2 linked regions of the Alligator mississippiensis genome follow. The protein of the gene in region 1 binds, or shares a complex with, the protein of each later gene. Links are inferred from orthologs where the notes say so. Each region holds a gene or a part of one and is shown in the gene's direction. Other genes may lie near its edges. The genes, in order: YWHAH and NUMB.

Region 1 (10,640 bases):
CTCCATATGATGTTCTGTTGACTTTCTTCAAAAAGGGCATACCCTGTTTTTCTAGTATCTCTAGTTACTTACCTTTGCTTAATTATATGATTGTCATTTTTGGTTTTTAAAGAAAGAATTAAAATGTGCTCCTAAATCCTTTGACTGGGCAGGACTGAGGAGAACACTGTGGTCTGAAGCAGCCTTTTAAGAGTTAGAGATAAAGCTGCTTTCAATTAGCTACTGTGCTCCTGCCACTCGCACAAACCTTCCACAACTGAGCATGCTTTGCACCCCCCTGTGCATATCCCTGAATCATTCTGGCAAGGGAAAGCACAGCCATAATCTTTTATTCAGACATAGCGCTCATTCTTCATTGGACTCTAAAGTGAACAGGGCTTGAAAATATTGTATTTCACAGGGGTGTTGTGAGGATTTATTAACTCATGGCTGCACAGGGCTTTGAACATGTAAAGAGCTACTGTATACAAATTCCTAATACTTTGAAATATTGTGCAGTGACCCCAGGCAGGTTTCACTATGCAGACCTAACCCCATTCCACTAGGGACCACTGGTCATACAGAATCCACTCCCTACTGCCAAGTACCTCCTTACATTTGCTGAATGCAGGCACAGCACACCTTTATGTAACTCACAGCTTGATCCATAAGATTTTAATGCAGTACCCAGGCAATATAATCTTTCTCACCATTCAGTGTAATCTGTCCTTTTCAGTTGCAAGGGAGGTTCAGTGTGAACACCTTGCAGATTATTATCAAGGTGAAATATGGTAAATAGAACATTTTCACATGTGCCTTGGTTGTGTGGAGGGGAGGGGAGGTTCTGCTGCTAGTTAAACAGTGATGTATGGTTTGACTAGAAATATGCCATTGAATTACAGTCTAACATGATCTATGAGAGAATCAGTTTTCCTGTGTGACACTTAAACTACGCCCACTCCTATCTTCTGCTTTGATCTCACCATTACAACCCCTTTCCCTCCCTGATGTGCTATTAACTCACTTTACTATAAAGATGTATTGCCAATGCTTTAACCCAGGGGTGAGCAATTATTTTGGGTGGAGGGCCACTTACTGAGTTTTGGCAAGCCATCAAGGGCTGCTTGACAGGCAGCCAGGGGCAGATAAATATTTTCCAAATTTTTTAGGGGCTCTGTGGGCTGGATAGGATAGTCTGGCGGGCCGCATCTGCCCCGCAGGCCACATTTTGCCCGCCCCTGCTTTAACCAGAACACTTATGGCTCATAGGCTGTGAAACAGTGCATCCCTGCAGCCCCATCTGATCCTCACAGTCCCAGTCAAGATTCCCCACCTTTTCTAGTTCAGATCCCCAGCATCTTCAGATCTCATCCTCCACAGCTACCACTCTTGTCCTCTTTACTTCTGTGGGGAAGCTGGGTAGTCTGTCCTCCTCATCACCCAGCAACTGCTCTTCTTCTTGCTCTCCTCTGCTCCGTGACTTACCTCTCATGGTTCCTCCAACTTTTAGAATCCCTCAAGAAGAAACGTCTCTAATGTCAGGTTGGTAGCTTGCTCCAGAGATTCAATAATATCAGCAGCAGAGGCTCATTAGACCACTGTTGCTCTGCTCCCATGCTGCTGCATTTTAGAGCACAGGGAAGGAAGGGGGGAGATCAAAGCAGCCAAAGAGGATGGCCATCCAACAGCAATGGCAGGAGAGGATGGTTCAGGGACAGGGTACCAGCAGCTTTCCCTGCCTTTTTCTTCTTTACCAATGGTCCCTGCAGTTCTGATCTTCCAATGGCTTGAATGAAGAGCAGAACAGAGAGAATAAAGGGAATTTTAACCAAGGTATCTTACCATCCCAATGTGGCATATCATTGTTGTACATTGCCTTGATGCTCCAATAAAGTACGGCTGTGGCCCTGTGTGAAAGTGGGATTTGGAGCACCATAAATGTGCAGTCTCCCCAGCTGGAATTCCATGCTCTGTGTGGTAACCATGTCAACAAGGCTGAATCCCATTTTATGAGAACAGGATTTCTGACTTCATGTCTGGGCTCTGCTGGGAATCTTGGAATTCTGCAGCAAAATGCCTGGCATCTGAGCTTGGGCCAGGGGGATCATAACTACAGAGCTATGGAAAAAGACCTGTCTCTGAGCTCTCTAGGAAGCCCCAACGTTCTGCAGAACATTACATGATACACAGTGCTTCAGTTAAAGGTTTGTCAGTAGTTCTATGTATACTCTGATTTTTATCAGGGTACTCATATCCAAGTCCCCCTATGTGGCAACTTAAAACTCAGTGCACAAGTTCTTAGTGATATTTTAATGATTATTTCTTATTGGTATTGTTGTACTCAAGGGGATCAAGCAGGGGCTGGACCTCCATTCTGCCTGGTGTTGTACACCATGCATTACAAGAAGATAGTCCTTATCCTCATACACTTACATGTTAGATATTATTTTTCCTTCCTGTGTGCTATAATGAGGCTGTAGAAATGCTAGATAAAGTGTTAACTCATTTCAGCCTTTCCTTTGCCACTGACTTGGAAGTGTGCCCAACTTCAAAGCAAGACATTTGATGTCATGTGATGTGCCATCTTGTGGATTTAAGGGTAAGGAGATGCTTAAGATTGCTTCACGCTAAAGAACGTCTGTTATGCAGAGGCTGTGATTTGTTTTAAAGCCCTATCATGAAAAGGTGTGTTTGGGGGAAATTTACATACATATAATAGTTGAATAGATTATTTGGTTTGCTGGATAAATAAATATAACTGGGTTTAAAAATATTTGTTAATCTGTGTTCCCTCAGCAGGCTGAGACTGCTTTACAAGACTGGAAGGTAAACTACAAGCTTTCAAAACTGCTGGCACAATTTGTGAGCTGAATAATCATTATTAGAGATTAGCCTAAGATGCAATTTTATGTTTGGCTCAAACATTTATAGAGTTTAAGGATTTAATGTGGTTTCTTCCATTTCATATTGTCACCATTTAGTCAACCAGGAAAACATCTCTGACACAATTTAATCATACCATTTTCAAGGCATGATCCTGCCCTTCTTATTTGGAACTCCTTGCAGCTGCAAGGACATTTTGACTGAGGGACTGGACTGAAGGTTTACATTTTTCCTGGGTTTTTTTAGAGCACTTACCACTGTTTTCTCTTAAATGCACATATTAAAAAAAAAAAAAAACAGAATGCAAGATTTGGTAAGCCTCACAGGACTGCTGGTTTATCAACTCCAGCACCCTGCCTCCAAAGTGATCAAAGTGTGCAAGGTTGATTCTTCAGGGAAAGACAGGATAATTAATCCCACAATGCACTTGATTTTATGAACAACACTGCATGTGAAAATAGGGGAATTCTTTCCTTGCTCTTGTAGTGCTCAGTTTATGTCCTTAAACATGATAATTTATTATGCAAAGTTACACTTTGTTGTTATTGGCCATAACCTTTATCCAGCCCTATTTAAAAACCAAATACTGTATTTATTCTAAATAGCAGCAGTGGTCTAACTTAACCGCATAAAAGCCAGATAATTCAGATTTAAGACTAAAACTCATGGTTGATGCTATCGGATGAATTGTGCTCTTGCTTTCTGCAGTGTAATACCATTGAATATATGAGATTAATGTATCATTAATGAGAGCAGAACATCACCATGAGTCTATCACTCAGACTAACAGGCAAAGCACTGATGTCATCTTTTAGTGTAGTGTGGTCCAGAGCCTGCATCACTGTCACTGCATCACCTTGAGCAAGTCTGTCACTATTGTGTGCCTCAATTTCCCAATCTGTAAAATAGAGACAGTGATTTAAAATAGCAAGTTAAAATTAGAATAACATTAGAATTCTAATAGAATTAGAAAAAGAATAATGTATTTTTAATTAGTATAGAAAATCACCCTAAAGAACAGTCACAGGGCACAACTTGTAATTCCAGGGCAGTGCCTGGGATTCCACTGAGAGCTTTTTTTTTGAGGGATAGAGTAGGAAAATGATCAGAAAAATCCAAATAGTGGTCTTCCTGACTGATTTTGGTGATCCATGAAGCAGATGGAGATATTTAGTTTATCTTTGGGTTGATTTTAGTAACTGTAATATTTATTTCCAGTGACTAGACTCTGGTAGCTAAGGCCCTAGCAGCTGTATAATTTATGCAATAGTGCCTATGAGAGGTAGTTTTCAGGTAAGCCGTGTAGTTTGTTAATTTGATGAAGCATCTAACTGCTATGAAATGAAATATGTGATGAAATGGAAATTGTCCCACCAGGTACTGTGATGGTGGCTGGTATGTGCCCACTGGGCTCCTGGCTGGAGAGACGTGGTAACAGCTGGTACACGCTGTTTACCTGTTCCAGCAGAAGGGCCAAATTTAGAAAAAATGCGGGCAAAATCTTGTCCCAAAAGGACAGCTTCACGATGGCGTGTCCAGCACAAAACGATGTGAATGTCCAAGCAAAACCATGACAGGCAGAGGGTTGTTCATGTCTTTTATTGGAGCCGCTGTATAGCTGTGGGGACATTGGACAAGCTTTCCGGCTCCTTTGACCTGGCCCATCGCAGGGATGGACACAATCAGAGCCTGGAGAAAACAGAGCAAAGGGAGCGTGACCAAGAGGAAAATTCACAGCGCGGCCAAACCGTACAGGTGGCAACACAGGGTGCTTTGTAGGATGGCTGCCGGCAGACAGGGCAGGGCTCCCTGTGACCTGGGCGGCTGGGGTTGCTCCTGCTCTGAAGGCAGCCCAGCGGGCTGCTCTTCTGAGCGGGCAGTGGGCTTGGCGCGAGGAGGCAGATCCTTCCTCAGGAAAGGAGTAACACTAGCCTTCAATGCTCGACCTCCAGCGTGCGCATGCAAAGCAGCATGGCCTCGGCCCGGCCTAGCCTCCTCCCTTCAGCTCCGCTGCTCTGCAATGCCCTCTCCCCGTCTCCCACCTCCACCTTTGCAGCAGTAAAATGCAGCACTCGCATAGCGCATGCGCGCAGCTCCCAGCCGGTTCTCCGGCCCGGCTATTTATAGCAAGTGACGTCACCTTGAAATAGAACGCGGGGGAGCAGCAGCACCCCCCCCTCGGGCCGGCCCGCGCCCCGCCCCCCCGCCCGCTGCCCTCACACTGCGCAGGCGCGGGGGGGCGGGCGCAGCGCGGGGCTGGAGCCGGCCGGGGAGGTGCCGCACACTCGCCGCACACGCTGCCGAGGGACGCGAGCGCGCGGTCGCCGCCCGGCAACGGTCCCTGAGCGCGCGGCGCCAACGGTAGCCAACGGTCGCGGAGCCCGCGAGGCAGCGCCCCCCCTCCCCCATCGCCCGGCCCGGCCCGGCCGCTACCACGGACGCCGCCATGGGGGACCGCGAGCAGCTGCTGCAGCGCGCCCGCCTGGCCGAGCAGGCGGAGAGATACGACGACATGGCCTCGGCCATGAAGGCGGTGAGTGGGGCCGGGAGGCGGCGCTGAGGCGGGGCTGGGCCCCCACGTCCGGCCCGGCCCCGCTCTGATCCGCGCCGCGCCGCGCCCGCTGCCGGCACCTTCCCGCGCGCTGCCGGGGGAGCCCGGTCTCGACCTTGGCGGGGGGCGGGGGGTGCTGGGGAGCCCCCGGCGGGCAGGGCTGCTCCTTTCTCGATGCTGCTGCACCGCCGAGGCAGGAGGCGCGGGCGGGCTTCGCTCAACATGGCAGCGCTCCGGGACCGGGCAGCCGCCGCGGATCCGCCTCTTCCCTCCTCTCCGTAGCCCGACGTCCGTCTCGTGCGGTCCGGTCCGCGGCCTGGGCGGCGGCGGCGGCGGCTCTCGGACAGCGGCGGAGCTCGTGCATCGCGTGTCGCGGCTGTAGCGCAGCGTGCAATAAAATGGCAGAGCGCCCAAACGTCCCGTGTGGTCACCTCTTCTTCCTCGCCGGCCTGATCGCACAGCAGGGCTCTCCTCTCCTCTCCTGTTTTCTTTTCATATTTATTTTTAATGAGCTTCTAGCAACCTCATTACTTCAGGTTTACACCTGCAGTGACCTGTGTTGTGGCAGCACCCAAAGGCCCCCCCATCAAAATGACACCCCCACCCTCTGCCCTTGCTTGTGGGTAGTGCAGTATAAATGACCGTTTCCTTCACAAAGGAGGTCATGTTATAGCAAAAGACAATCCATTCAGGACCAGCTGGTCTTAAAATTAGGTCTCCCTATATTACAATCCAAAAAAAAAAGCTTTTTTTTTTTTTATTGTGGCTTTTGTTGCCACCTTTTATAGATAGCTTTCACGTGTAGCCCAGCCTGCCCTGGAGCTCATCTCATCCCTGATCAAAAGCACGTTCAGCTGTCTCTGTAATATAGCAAGCAGTTACACAGGATGTGAGAGAGCGTAGTAATGGCACACCCAGGCTTGCTATTGGAAGCAAGTCTAGGCCGTTTCGGAAATGGCTTTAATTACAGGTGAGACGTTCCATTCTCGAACAAGCTAAAAGGCAAGTTCTAGTGAAGTCTAGTGGTGATCCGGGAAAGTTTCCATGATTAAATCTGAGAAATGTATGTAGCCTAATGTCTATAAGTGGAAGGGGGAGGAGGGAGCTGCTTTCAAAGGAAAGCTTGAACATGGGAAACAAACACAATAAACTGACCATCCTTCGGGAAATCCTACAAATAAAATGTAGTTGGTTCAATGTGTTTTCTTTTTTTCCGATAATCCCTTTTAAACTGAAAATATTTTTACATTTTTATGTTGTATCTTGCTTCAAAATTGCTCTTCATTTGATATGTTTCCTTTACAAATACTGCATAGATGGCAACAGTTTCTTTTACTTTAGAACTCTGAAGTCAAATATTTGCTTCAATGGAACATGCTAATTGATTCATTCTTTAACGGGGCTCTTTTTTCAAAGGTTGAATTTGGAACAAAATGAATAGGGTGATGGAAGAGTGTTTCTCTTATTTAAACTGATCAAGTAACTGCAGTTTCTTGTATGCATGCAGTTCATGCAGTAAAATCTGGGTAAGTTTCTGTTCCAAGGAAATAGCAAATAATGGTCTAGTGATGAATTTATCAGAAGCCAACTGTCCATAATTTTCAACTCAATTGTCTTTTATGTATTTCAGTGGATTTTGTGAGAGTAAGTGAAGGAAGGTTTTAAAACTTGTGCAAATCACTGCATTATGTGGACACTTTTAAAATTCTGTACACCTAAGATTTCCTCTAATTGCAGTGCGAACAGTTGTTTAGAAAAAACACTCTTAGGGATGGGGGGCAGGAAATGGGAGGGCCACTAGGTAGTAGACATATTTAAAGGAGGAAATATTTCTTCTGTAATATAGAGTATGCAGTACTTAGTATGAATTACTCATTTAAATGTATTTTCCAAACTGTAAAAGAGTGAAGATCAAGAAACCTGCCAATATATACTCTGGCAAGCAGCATTTCTGAATATTACCCATAACATTTGAAATAAAAAAGCTGCAACCTAAAGATATATCCATGAGAAGTGCAAGCAAATGTTCTACCACGGTAAAATGGCATTCCTCCAAGGGGTGTGGCATCTTCTTTGCCTTAAACCCTGCTCTGGGACTTCAGCCAATTGAGATAATATTACATTTTGTACCAGAGTTCAGTTTTGAAATTCTCAAATTTTATTGTTTGATCAGCAGCCGTTGGTGGGAGTGGGGGGAGACTGAGGGAATACATAACAGTACGCTTCACGTGCAGGTACTGCACTTCAAACTTTTGTCTGAAAAATGCTCTATGCATATAAAGATTCAGGGCTACATTAAGCACTTCCTTTATTTAGCCTATTTTTGAGAATGAAATAAACTATTGGTTGTAATTAGAAAAAGCAGTTAAATTATGCATACCAGATTACGAAATGTATCAATTCTTGCATTGGTGAGTATAGTATGGGTATGCCTTTTAAATATATTTAGGGTTCTGACTTCAAAGTTTCTTCTATCTATGAATGCCTCAAACTTATTTTAATCTACTATATGTGCAGTGTTCTACCCTTTGGTTCTGTTTTCTTTCCCGTACTGGTGTCCCTTTGTGCTACTGAGGTATGCATGTATCTTTGGAGGAGTGAGTGAGCAAGGGTATGCCTTGGAGAGTGCTTCATGCTGGTTTGATACTAAGCATTTTTCACTGTTCAGTTCAATTCAGTAACTGTTACTTTACTTAACCTGGGATGAATGTGAGCAGCCCAAAGTCATTCCTAAATTACTTGCCCTCATGTCAGGATTTCTAGGGTCACAGACCCTCTGGTTCTTAGTATTGCAGTTGACCAGTTTGTTTTTTAACTGTCCTTCAAGGTGTGGAGCAGGGGTGGGGAGGGAACTGTTGGGAAGTATTGGAGGACTGTGTCAGCAACCTCTGTTCTCTCCACAAAGTCACCTTTACTAGCATGAATGACAACAGCTATACCCTTCCTGCTGGGCCAGCTAACCTGGGTTGAAGGTACCTCTAGACTTGAGTGAGAGTTTTATATGTGGGTGGGATATGTATTAATGTCTAAGTTAACACTGCAATGAAGACTTCCCTCAATGGCTTTATCATATTAGTGCTGTTCCTTTTCACAGTAGTTACGAAAGCTGATGTTGAGGACCATCAGGTTGGGGGTAAGTTTACTCACTGAAAAGCCTCTGTTAAGGGATGGCTATGCATAAAAAAGTAGAGAAAGGGAAGGAGGCTGACTTTCTGCCTCTGAGTCAGTGTTTTTACCTCCTTAAGGAGATGGTGAGACTAAGAGGAAGATTTTGGTTGTATTAAAGTACAATATGCCATTGTATTCTGTACTGTCCACCTTCCTTGAAAGTCACTTGCTTTCTGTTGCTGCACCCACAGCCTCCTAATACAGCTGAGTTGCTTATATATGCATGCATGCAGGCCCAAGGGTCTCTGCTCATTGCTTAAGAACTAAATAAAAAATGTATGCAACTTGGCACTATGAAAGTCCTGTTAGATACCCACCTATATGAAACTTCTTGTAGCTTTCAAACTGAGTTAGAAAACTGGGTGGGAGTACCAAAATCCTTAGCTTACTACATTGAACAGCCTCATCTGGGCAGAAGCTACTGGTAGTTTGGGGGTCTCAGATTCTTCTTTCTCAGTGTTAGACAAGCTGAGGTGAAGGTGCGGGTTCACTTGACCCAGGTTGCTAATGATGTAAATCAGATCTTCATAAAATCTGTGTAATTCTAAATGTGTGTGCTTACTACAACCTTACAGTTAGCCATTTGGACAATGCTTTAGCTGTGTGGTCAGATTTGTGTATACTGATAAATACACACCAATACTCTAAAAAGAACTTGTTATACTAAAACAAAGAGTAAGAATTAAAAAAAAAAAATCTGATTATGATCATTATTGGGATTATTCATGTCCAAGAACAGTATTAATTTTTGGATTTGTAGATACTCTGGGGGGAAAAATGTTCTCATGTGGCTAGGTTCCAGATGAGAGAAAAATGGTGGTGTCATAGTTAACTGATAGGCATCAATAAAATAGGCTTAGTAGAGAATGAGTCACTTCTATCTGTTAATCAGGTTTAGTTTTATTGGTATCTGGAATGTTCTTGTTCTCTTGCTATCTATAGTCTGAGGCAGGTGACACTGGAATTTCTGATGTTAGAAAAAAGTAGAGTAAATTTTACTTTGGGAAAACATTTTAGAGGTGCCTTAGACTGCAAGAAGCAAAAAAAGCACAATTGTTTTTTAATGTCTTCTCAGGAAGTCAGGGTTTGGCTTCCTTCAAATAAGTGCCAATTTTCCTTTGTTGCACTGCCTTTGCATAGCCTCTGTGTGGGAGTTGCATACTTTGCCACATGACTTCCACAGTATGGCAAGGACAATGTATTCTTAGAACAAATGGAATTGAAGAAGCCCTGTTTCTTTCATGCTGTCTTTGGATGTGGATAGTCTAGTTAGGTACCACTGTGTTGCCATACTATCTTTCACAAATCCTTTTCTTGAAAAAGGAAAAATAAGAACTGTCTTCAGACTTTCTCTGGACATCTCTTAGGGCAAGGGTGGCCAATGTGTAGCATGAATGCCAGAAGTGGCATGGGCAGCCTCTGCAAAACAGAGAGGAGGGAAAGGAGAGTAGCAGGTGAGGAAGGGAAGGGGATCGGCATGGCACTTGGCATGGGTGTAGGGCTTAATTTGTGGCACGCTTGCCAAAAAGGTTGGCTCCCATTATCTCAGGATGCAATATAAAGATACAAGGACTGCTTGTCTCTGTTTGATCTGCTTTAAGTGATGGAAAAGAATTGGATATACATGAGGATTCTTCCAGTCCTCTGAACAGCATCTGCCTATCTACTTCCAGAAATAGTTTGGCAGATGTTCAGAGAATGATGACAGCAGCTTACGTGAATATCAGTGGAGTCTGGCAGTCTCTCCTATTCAGTTGGGTAAATAATTGTGAGAAAAACTTGAGAGTCTGAGTATGTCATCAACCCGCATGGCAACATTCAGTTCTGTTTTTAATCAAATACATAAATTATTAGTGATGGAATTCTAGGTGTTGTTCATGCAAGTGACTCGAGGAAAGAGGATGCACCTTTCTTTTTCATGTACTATATGCTCTCTTTATCTGTGTGCTTGTGACTTGCTGATTAAATTGTATTACACTTTTAACTGTCATTGTGGAACTCTGTGATGCAGAATATGGTGACTTGCTAACTGCCACTGGTTGGGGGAGTGTTTAGTTCT
Region 2 (11,350 bases), on another chromosome or scaffold:
TTAGGGTGCTCCAGATCCAGTTTCATAATCTTCATAACAAGCAGACAGCAGGAATATATCAAGGTCCAGCACAGAGGCTCATTAGTAAGGACTACATTTTCCCATCTTGTGTGGCTATGTAAAGTTCCAGTTGCAGTGGGTTCAACAGCTGTTCAGAATGATAGAGTTTATGGAGATCACACAGGGATCTGCATTTACTGCATGGTGTGGAGTTTGGTAAGGATTAGAAATGGGATTAAATCCAACACTACAGAATTTCACCAGCCCTTGTCCCCCTGAAAGGGCAGTTTGACAATTATTCTGCAACCTGGGTTAAAACACTATATCAAGAGTAGCTCAACTTGGAGTTCTTGCAAAAGAACCAAATGCTGAGAATCCTTAGCCTTCATGGAAGCACTGTGCACTATGAATGACTCTGGTGAATTACTTTGGTACTTGAGGCTCCTATTCCCTGTCTTAAACCAATCACAAAAGCTGTAAATACTCATATCAGTGTAGGCACCACTGGGTGCAAATCAGAAGTTAAGTGCTATCCTGGTTGTTTTCCTCCATGTGCTGATATTTTAAGGAAAGTTTTCAAAGGAAAAGAGTAATCCAACTTAAAGTAGTTGAAATAAATAAAGGGAAAGGAGCACAACATTCCTGTGAATTAATAGGTGGTCGTCAGCAGCTGCTTGCTCATACATACTAGCAACTGGGGGCTCAATTAAACATTCTAATTAGAATTCAGCACAATATAACTCTGGTTTTATGAGCATATAAAACACGTTGCCAAGAGCCACACACATTTTATTTAAGAGGACATAAAAATGTGGGGTAACAGCTTACTAAAAAGCCACAAGTGCCTTCTGAACAGAAAAAGAAATGCCACTTTGAAGAGAGTTAGGGGTATATTTGTTTTGTGACTCCATTCAACTCGCCTCCCCAAGAATTGTAGTCTTGTAATGCAACCCTTAAACCATGCAAGGACTGATCATGCTTGGGTTTGAGTGACCTTCACAAATGGGAGCAGAAGGTGCATGGTATCTGGTGGGATTGGGCTTGTGGTTAGTCTAATTTTTCACTCTCCATGTGATTGTTCAGCATAATGCAAATTGCTTGGCACATCCTCTTTATTTCTGGCAAAGCATTAATGTAAATCAGTCACTTTTAGAAAGTCAAATTAAGTTTAATTCTTTTTCTCATTATTACTTTGTTGGCAACCTGAGCTCTGCACTGTCAATTTTGCTTTAGTGCCAAAAGCAACACTCATTATGGAAAAAGAGCATTTTAAGCCTGCAGTGATAGGTTTTCGTATACCAAAACCCTGACAATCCTGATCTCCATTCAGCCCAATTACATCCACTATGTCAGCATTGTAAGGACATTGGGCAGGATTGTGAAACCTTCTCTTTTAGCTGTAAAGTCCACAGCCAGATAACAGGACTGAGAGCTAACTCAAAAGACTGTTTCTCAAGAGCTGTTTTCCAGCCCCTCTCATCAGGGTGAATACACTCACTCACTGAAGCATCTTTCAACAGAAATCTTGGCCTACCTCCAACTGCCTCTCTCTTTTCAGTGATTTCCTCCTCCTCTCTCTGTTTGTGGTCTTCAGTCCTAGTTATCTTGTACACAGAGCCTTACTGAGAAAATGAACTCTCCCAAAATCTGAACAATCCAATTGATATTAATTTATAAAAATAATCATTAACAGGCCCAGGGACCCTGTGAAACAACTAGATTGGACACAAGAAAAGCACAAACAACTCGGCTTCTCCCTCCTCCTCCAAATTAAAGTAAAATACATAGAAGGTTGTAAATTGTTTTTATTTGATGTTTCAGTTTTTCTTAAATTGGAAGTCAGTTTTAGCAAGCCTGCAGTGATACGAGGTTGAAAGTTAAAACTGGAGATAGATGATTCTACTCACATGTTTTGTACTATTATTTCTCATTCCCAGTGGGATGCTGCAGCTTATTTGGGGGGCATTTTTAGGGGTATTTTTTATATTTGTGATACACACGATCTAAGATTTGGTAATATTAAGCAGATACCATCTGCAGTATCTCTGTAGCCAGTGACTAAACACAAAGCTGCAGACTCTGAGAGTCCCAACCTTCATGCTTTTCACTGGAGGGAGAAGGAATAAGTGTGCATGAGAGGGAAATCCATATAATAAAATGAAAGAGAAGAGAAGCTGGATGAAGTAATTGCACTATAGGATTACCTTGTGCATGCACAATTGAGACAAAGGGTACAATCAAGCTGCCCTCCCCCATCCATCCTATGTGTAGTACCAGCACAATCTTTTCATGGGCACAAACCATGCTCTTGACAATCTATTTGGGCAAGGCTTTTTCTCCTAATAACTATTCTAAAAGATTCAGACTATCTTCCTCCCATCCCTTCTGTATTAACCATGACCAATGATGCATTACATTGCTTTGTTCATAAAATGGATTTTGGACCCCTTTCAAAATGCAAAATCTACTGCATACCAATTTGTCGTTTACTCCTTCAATAAGTTCCTAACAGAAGAAAATGTCCTATGATTTCACTGATTCCTGTATGACATGACTATATAATTTTATTTATACTGAGGATTTTCTGACATCCTTCCATGCTCTGTCTAGCAGTACAGTATTAGCAAGGTGGAAAATTCAGTGCAAACAGGATGCATGTGTTTTAACAAGCACATCATTGAGTTCTGTTCAGAGCAATATAGGAAAAAACATCATTAACTTTCTGTCCTGTCTTTCACCTTTGCTAATACAGGTGGGGCTGTGCTGATGCTACAGAAACATTGAGAAATGTTAGGAAATTCTTGGGGCCTGTTTGAACATACAAAGCATGTTGCTTTATACCTGTGTAGTCAAAGTAGTACAATTCTTTCTGGACGTACTTATACTGTTAAAAGTATAGCATACTGTGTATGCTAGTATAGCTTATCCCTATAAAGAATGAAAGAATGATAGAGCATCCTGGCCCTCATTACGTCATACACAATGAGATTACATAAGTTAGATTTATTTTGTAACGCAGAGGGCCAGTCAGAGAAAACTAAGGTGAGCCATATCAATATCTGGTTCACTGCAGTGAAAACGTGGGGCTTGTAAAATAATAGTAAATTCCTAAATTATAGAATCCTTAGGAGAAATGGTACAGATTTTATTTCTTCCTTTGTAGCTATGGAAAGGTCTAGAGTTAAACTGAATCAATTCACTTCTGCTGGGTAGAAGTAAGCAGGACTCAAGGAACTGAGTCTACAACCCTCCAGAACCCGTGAAGCTCCACTCTATTGTGATTGTTCCTAGGTTGATGCTTTTGGGACAGGGCAGGAATAAAAATTGGGTGGAGTTTTTGGATTTGCTATGTAGACCCTGCTAGCCATTCATAACCCCTAGAATTCATAGGTTATCGTGGGGCTGTCCAACCGACAGATCCCAAGGGGTTAAACTACAGTCCCTGGACTCCTGATCCAAGTGATAACTCCTCCCTTTGTTCTCTTGCTGCTGTTGCCAGAGTCCCAAGCCTCTCCCTTCCTCCTCCAGCTTCCACTGCCTGCCCCCACCCCTGGAGCAGTGAGGCCAGTGGGGCTGAGGGACCCCATAGCTAGAGGGCTCAGGGGACTTGGGGACCTCACACATGTTGGAGTTGGTGGGATGCAGTGGGAGTGGCCCACTGTGCAGCAGTAGGGGACTATCACATCCGTGCATGTAGGGGGTCTGCATAGCAAGGCATGCCTATGTGGTGGGGCTATGGTACACTGGGGGCACATGCACTGTGGGGAGCTTTCCCAGTGCATTGTGGGCCCATGCAGTGCAGCAGGGGGGCTTGCATGGTGCAGTGTGCAGCCCATGCGGCATGCACTGGAGGTATGTGACCTACACAGTGTGTGACTGGGGTCCGGTGACTCCTGCCCATTCAGAAATTGGACAGTCCTAGGTTACTGTATCATCAGGTCTTGCGCCTGACATTAGGCCTTGGAGATGGATTTGTTGTCCTGCATCCTTGGAAACCCTCTCCAGGAAGCTCATCTATAGGCTGTAGGAATTGGCCCCCTGACCATCATAATGAGTGAGAGTGTGGTTTAATTCAAGACTTCTTTTATGGCTAGCTTTCCTTCATCCTCCCTCATGTCCTCTTTTCCCCATCTCAGTCATTAGTGGCTACCTAGGGCAAGTCAGCAGGCAGCAGCATTAACAGAACCAAGAGAATAGCTACAAGCAGGTACATTAAAAAAATGCAGATATGCTTGGAGATAGGCATATATTTGGACTTTATCGATTAAAACTGTAATGTATTTCTTTGACAGTAGTGTCCTTGGTTTGTCCTTACCAGTTCATGGCTACATCACATGTGAAAGTTGAGGTCACTTGTAACATGACAATCTTTCTCTTGGAATGAAGGTTTAAAGCTCAATACTTTATCTCAAGTTCTATGTCAGCAACAGAGAGTCCAGAGTCTAGCTTTGGTAAATATGAGGAAGAGCTAAATTAAAGCCACCTGGAACATAACATATCTAAGGAGCTATTCAGGTCACAAACAATGTTAGGCTTGTTAGGCTTCAAAAAACCTTAAGATCAATGCAAACATTCCCTTAATTTTTAAACATTTTTAGTTCAAGCAGTTTAAATATATTTTAACACATACTGAAGTTATACACTGGTGAGTGTGTGAAAACAGCAGTGCGGAAGTAACTAGAGATGAGTGTAAAAAGAAGTAGAACTAACCAGTTTATTTTCACTCACCAAGCTGAGTCATATGTAAAAAGAGGGGAAAAAATAGATTTCTGCTTTCAGTGTTGATAGTCTAACAAAAGGTGATTTTGTGGTTGAGTCACTTGCTGAGGCTCAGAAAATCAGAGTTTACTTCTCACTTCTGCCACTGACTTCGTATGTAATGATGAACAAGTAATTTAGCCTAAGTTTTAAATATGGATATTGGTTTTAGTTTGCCTCATTTGTGGATGCCCACACCGAAACACCTGAGCTCTGATTTCCCATTCCTCCATTCCTTTATTTGATTCAGAAAAAGGGGAAAGAAGAGCTTTAAGTAACCTTTGCATTTCCTGTTTCTGGGGGAGCTCAAGGCTGCCCTAACTTGTATTTGGATACAAGAGCTGCCCAAGGCCATTCACAGAAGGCAAGGAATTCTTGGCTAGTGCTTCCTGGCTCTATACCTTCTGCATGTGGTTCATTTGGGTGCTGCACCCAAAACACTACCACTGTCACTTCTTGAAGCTGACTTTCCCTACTGAACAGTAGCATAAGTAAATATGGGTGTTGTGGCAGGAGAGTTCTTGCAGGAGGACGGAGGTGGGCCCAGGCTCACACGGTCATGCTCAGCTTCCAGCTAGTTGGCACTAAGGCTCCTTGTCAAAAAGCAAAATGTAAGCAGATTTGTGCCAACTGGGCAGCACTGCCTGGCAAAGATGGTGGGCAACCCTGGAGCTCCTGAGCATCACCAGGCTGCGACAGCAGCAGCAGCAAGCCCCAACACCCTGGTGGGTATCAAAGCTCAGGAGAATTCAGATGCCTAAACTTAGGAGTCCCTTTTCTGCTGAGACACCCCCACGTCTGGACCATGAAACACTTCTTTCTTACGACATTGTAGGATTACAACATTCAGAGATTAATATCTAAATTTGATAACCATTTGGCTGCTTCAAGGGTAGCTGCATGGATTTTTAGATCATCGTTAAAAGGTCTAATTGGGCAATCATTCACAATGTGTTGCATCGTCTAAAAAAATCGCACCACAATCGCAACCCGGATTCTCTTTGGTTCTCCATTTATGGAGCAGGTGTCCACATTTTCCATGAAGTGTCTGGTTGCGATTCAGGGAGGACCAAATCTTTCTTGGTAGGTCAAATCCTAGCTGGGGAATTGTAGGGTCACTGACAATGTATTTCTGTGGTAGGCTGGTATTTGCCCAAGCTTCCCTCCATTGTTCTTTGGTGCTCTTGTTATCATCATAGAGCTTCTTGGCATATTTCCAGAAGGGTTTTCTAGATTTGAGTCTATCCAGGGGTGGCGTAGAGATGTCTTTGTTGATTGGGAGGTTTGGGTCACAATAGCTTTATGGTAGTCTCTCACACATGTGGTCTTGCGGCCGAGCTGTGGGAGAGCAGTGTTTGCTGGGCCTGGGAGCCGTGGCAATGGCGTACTTTTAGTGTTCCTGATATAATCCGCATAGCTACAGCTCTAGGCAAAGCCCAAAAAAGGGTTTCAGTTGCATGGGGCCCTTTCCTTCTATACCGGCATCAAGCTGAAATCCCTCATGCTGCACTTGGCTAGGCGCAGGTTCCCGAGGGATGAGGCGGGCACAGCGCCCCCTCTCCGCAGAGGCGCGGGAGAGGCTGCGCGGAGCCCACGAAGGGTTAACTCGGCCCAGGTGCTGTCTTCTCTGCCCCTCCCTCTCGCCTGTGCGCCGTGCAACCAACCTTGCCACCGCCACCAGTCTGCCGACCATGCTGCTGAAGGCGGGAGGGAAGGGGGCAGGATCAGTGCAACAGCTGGCAGCCCTGGCAGCCTATCTTACCTCTCAACCTCAGCAGCTTGAGCCAATCCGGAGGACGAGCGGTGAGGGGGGGGGAGGAACGGGGGTGGCAAAGCCCCCCCCCACTTCGAGTCTACCCTCCCTTAAAGTGAATAGGTGGGTACTAAGTGGGGTGGGCGGGGCCGAGCCGTGACGAGCAGGCGCGCCGAGCAATCGAAGCCAACCAGGCGGGCGCGGGCGACCAGTAGGTTGCGCGGCTGGGCGGGGGGCGGGGACTGTTGTCAGGGGGGCGGTGGCAGCGGCGGCGCTGGTGTTGGGTGGCGAAGGGCGGCCGAGGCGGCGCGGCGGGGAGGCGGCGGCGGCAGGTGAGTGTGGCCGGGGCCGAGACCGAGGCCGAGTCGCGGGGCAGGATTGGGTCCGCTGGGGGGGGGGCGGCGATATCCAGCCCGCGGTTCGGGGGCGCCGCCGCCGCTTCCTGCCCGGGGCCGCCCGGCGCCGTCCCCCCCGCTCTGGCCGGTGCCGCGCTGGGCCGGGCGGTGCCCTCGGGGCCGGCAGGTGAGGGGCCGGGCCGGGCCGGGCCGGGCCAGTGGGGAGGCTGGCGCCCGGCTCCGGCGGAGAGTGGGGCCGGCTCTGCCGGCTGGCAGCGGTCCCGGCCGCGGCCTGCCCGGCCGGTCCCGCACCACTCTCCGCCTCTTCCCGAGCTCGTGGCAGCTGCTCCGGGCTCCGGCAGGCAGCAGGGCCGGGCCGGGCTGCGGCCGCTGCCGACGCCTCTGCTGCAAGCGGCTGTTCAGGGAGGTCCCTGCGCCTCCCCGTGTGTCCCCCGCGGCCTGGGGACCGTAACAATGGCCCGGCCTGGCCGCAGCATTGTTCTCTGGCGCAGCGGAGCCGCGCGCCCTCGGGCTGCGGGCGGCCGGGCGGCAGCTTCCCACGCACCCGCGGGCTCGTAGTTCCAGAGGAAGAGGAAAAACAACGCTCGCCTCTCTTATCCCCTCCTCCCCCCCCAGTAATCCACGGAGGTTTTCCATTTCTTCATTACTTGGCCCTTCTCCATGGAAACAGCCTCTAAAAAATTGGGATCAATGTGAATTTGTGTCCAGAAACCTGAATCAAATTAGGGCCTTGTGGTCACCCTTGTATGTAAATCTGAGAGCTTTGGTTACTGAATTGATCCTACGGCAACATTCATTCATCTGTAACTGAATTAAATGGGGGCTTGAAGCCTCAGTGAAAGCTCTGGTTTGCAAAACTCGAAACATTACTACACACTCGCACTCTTGTACACACTCTCACATCCAGGCCTGCACGCACACTCTCACATGGCCACGCGCTCAGTCACATTCACACTCTCTCGCATACGTGTGTGCTTTTTCCTGCCTTTTAGGATGGACAGACCCTTGGTATCAGTCATTTAATCTGTTATCAGCCACCAGTTTGCTGTTCATAGTGACAACTATGTTGTTAACTCTTATTTCTCTTTTTAACTGCAAGTAGTGAAGGCTGAAAGAGACTCTAAACAAGACCACTTAAAAAGGGCTGGGGTATTTTCTATCGTGATACCATGAAAATGTCTTTCTGATACTGTGGCAGCAATTACCAATCCCAAGCACGTAAAAAAAAAAAAAAAGTTATATGGTTTTGTGGTCTACCTTTAAAATGACACTTTTGGGTTTGACTAGCTTTCTGGTCTCTTGCACCTTTATAGTAGATTCTTTTTCACAGCCATCCAGGCTAGAAACCGTTTTTTCCTTAGTGAAGGCTGAGGCTTGCATAATTGCTTGCACCCATGCACTGGGGGCCAGACTTGTGATATGAATGCAAGGGTTGACACCAGCCCTGTGATAAGAACTCTTGTCTCTTGCCTATAGTTGCTTATACTGACTTTCTCTTGTTGGTGCAACTGCATTAGTCCTGGAAAACAATTGTGCTTTCCCAGGGTAAGTGTACCTTATAAAGGCTTTGTCATTTGTCTTTGTGGAAAAAAGATGGGTTTACAGAACATCAGAAGTTTGGAGAAAAACTAGTTGGTCTATAAAGATTTTGAGGAAGCCATCTTCAGCTTGTTCATTGATCTGGTAGCTGTCTTTGGGCAAGTTTTAAAAGTTGTTGCTTGTTCCTAGCGCAAACATGGCTATTGTTACCTGTCTGAGTCAGTGGGTTTATTTTAATCTGTTAGCTGATCAAGGCAAACTCCAGGCACCAGTGTGCCTTTTACCTGGGCTAGCATACATTAAAACTATGACCTGTTCATCTATTTTACTCACAATGCTTCTTGTCAAAAGCTTTGTGATTAAAAAGTGTTTTGAGGAATCTGATAATTTTGAAGGGTGTGTTATCTCTATACCAGCAATTGATTGAATGTGGGTGGTAGATGTTTCGGGCCCCTTTTTGAGGATGGTGTGAAGCCAAGCCAAGCAGTCATACCATTGCTCTAGAACAGGGGTCAGCAACCCCCGGCACATGTGCTGAGCATGACACGCAAGGCCATTTTGCTTGGCACACCACCGCCAGCCTTGGTGCTACTGTCAGCCTCGGAGCTCAGGCTGCTCCCAGCAGGCAGCTGGGAGGCTGCAAGCCGTGCTGCAACGGGCTCTGTGGGCTGGCTGCAAACAGCTGTTCCAGGCTCTGGCATGTTGACACTCCAGCATCTTCCATGTTAGACGTGTTTTTTTCAACACTCCGGCCAAAAAATGTTGCCTACCTCTGCTCTAGAACCAGAAGTAAACCTTAGCTTTTATGTGTGTTCTTAAGAAATTGCTTTGGGTCTGTCTTCAGAGTCAAATCTTTGAGTCTTCAGATTTTGAGGTGAAATTTTTATCAACTTTAAATCATGGTCTAAAAGGTCATCAGCAGAAAGATTTTGGATTTGCATAAAGCAGTTCAGAAACTTCTGGATAGCCTGCCATTTCTTGAAAAAATTAGACTTGATTTTTTTTGATGTGTTGGATCATAAATGCAGCCCTTTTCTGGCTGCTTATGTGTTAGTTCATGTGCCAAAAGAATCTCTGAGTTGTTTTGGATAGATAGCTTGTTGGCTTGGGCATCTTTAAGTGCAAGTCTAGAAAGCACAAATGCCATCAAGCCTGCGAAGATGGAAATTGTATATTAGGACATTGGGCCAGGAATAGTTTCTAGCATATGATAGCTAAACTTGACCTAAATGTGACTGCCGCTTTTAGTCCAAACAAGCCTCAAGGGTAGATCCTGGGCAAAAATGTGGGCTTTTGGGGGTTTGTTTATTTTTTGATTCATTGTATTTGTTTTTACTTGAGTTAGCTGACCTTGATTAACACTTTTTAACATCTCTTATGCAACTTGTCTAGTTGTCTAGTTGTGGCTTTTATCTAGGTAGTCATTGTATTTAAACATGCCATTTTCTTCTAGTCTGCACAAACCCAGAGAGGCTTTGACTTTGTTAAAAGGTTTCTGTGGAGCTTTAGGAAATGACAGGCTGCTGCAGGCCACCAATCCCTCCTCCACCTCCTCTGCCATCTCCCCACATACCACCAACAGAGGTTTAGACCCAGTTTCTTCATTGGCTTTTCCCTCCCTACTATGAGAGAATGCTGTTACTGCAGGGGGAGGTGTCAGCATGGGGGGAGGAGGGTTTGTGGGGGGAGTTGGACAGCAGTTACCTGGTGTAAGGAACTTTTGGTACCTGCTTGTTCCCTTCCCCACTGCAGCTGCCACCACTTGTCCCCATCGCTGAATACTGCCAAATCCTATTGCCCTTAGCAATGAGAAACTGTAAATTCTGTGTTGAGAATTATAGCTGCTGCCTTAGAGGAGCTGCTTTAACCCCTGACTACTGACCACACTGACACCTTCCTGCATAGGAGTGGCATCCCCTGTTAGGGAGAGGGGAAGAGTCTGACAGGGGGAACAGAGCTACTGGATGCGACCCCCATGAGTCTCCAGCCACTCCAGGGGCTCTGGGGGACTCTGCTGCAGGTTAGATCCAATTTCTTTGTGGGCTGAATCCAGCCTGTGAGCTGCAGGCTGCTGACTCCTGGTCTAGAACATGGAGCTGCTGACTGTCCCAGGATAACCATCTAACCCTCAACTGAGCCTTTCCTTTAACAGTTGATCTCTTCTAGCTCTGTCTACAACAAATTTCTCCAGGGAGTTGTTTACCTGAGATTAGGGAAGATGGCCTGTCTTCAAGGGCACCTTACTTCTAAAGTGATGTAAAAAATGATTCCTTACCACCATGAAGGCTGGTAGATAGATTTACACTGTACAGATGGTACAGATTATTATTTTTTGTCTTCAGAGGCTGACAACAAATATGAGAGTTTGAGGACACCATTGTGTTGTACTTCTATACAAATATTATTCGTCATGGCATTGAGAAAGTTTAACTGTAGCCTGGAGTTTTTTTTCTGTTTTTCTGGAACTCCATCATCAGAGAGAGAGAGTGAAAGTGTGTGTGTGTGAGAGAGAGATCAAATCAAACCAGATTTTATTTATATATATATTTTTTGTGTGTATATGAAAATAAAGTAAATGACTGGTCAGGTATCAACTCCCTGAGAAATCTGGTTTGATTTCTTGCTGTATTCCCCTTGTTTTGTTCCAAAGGAAGAGCTGAACTATCTTCCTCTTGCAAAGAGTAATTGATACTCTATATGATTTCTGCTGATTTCTATATTATTTTTTATGGCTGCACAGTTTCACATTCCTGCAGGAGTGTATTGTGACTCAGTGGTCCTTAAGTTTCTCAGTAATAATGTACATAAAATGAACTGTTGTGTGAGAGGGGAAAAATATATTGATGAGTCAAGGTAATCTAATAAAGTGGGCATGTAGACCTCTTTTTTGCAGAGCCAGTGTGTTTATGACTCATTTGGAAGTAAGCTTTCCACAACTTTATTG

What was found.
Region 2: the proteins of YWHAH (region 1) and NUMB are in contact, whole or in part, in a crystal structure (PDB 5YQG), measured with the Mus musculus proteins. The link is inferred for Alligator mississippiensis from reciprocal best matches to the Homo sapiens genes YWHAH and NUMB. Residues at the interface, in NP_035868.1 of Mus musculus: Arg57, Arg132, Tyr133, Leu177, Asn178, Val181, Glu185, Ile222, Leu225, Asn229; in NP_001129547.1 of Mus musculus: Gln274, Gly275, Ser276, Phe277.

Annotation. Positions count from the first base shown.
Region 1 is NC_081833.1:20,142,736-20,153,375, reverse strand, and holds the start of YWHAH (14-3-3 protein eta), read left to right. Parts: upstream 1-5,120; 5' UTR 5,121-5,308; coding exon 5,309-5,395; intron 5,396-10,640. UniProt on the Homo sapiens protein: Adapter protein implicated in the regulation of a large spectrum of both general and specialized signaling pathways. Binds to a large number of partners, usually by recognition of a phosphoserine or phosphothreonine motif.
Region 2 is NC_081825.1:236,383,764-236,395,113, reverse strand, and holds the start of NUMB (protein numb homolog), read left to right. Parts: upstream 1-6,766; 5' UTR 6,767-6,843; intron 6,844-11,350. UniProt on the Homo sapiens protein: Regulates clathrin-mediated receptor endocytosis. Plays a role in the process of neurogenesis.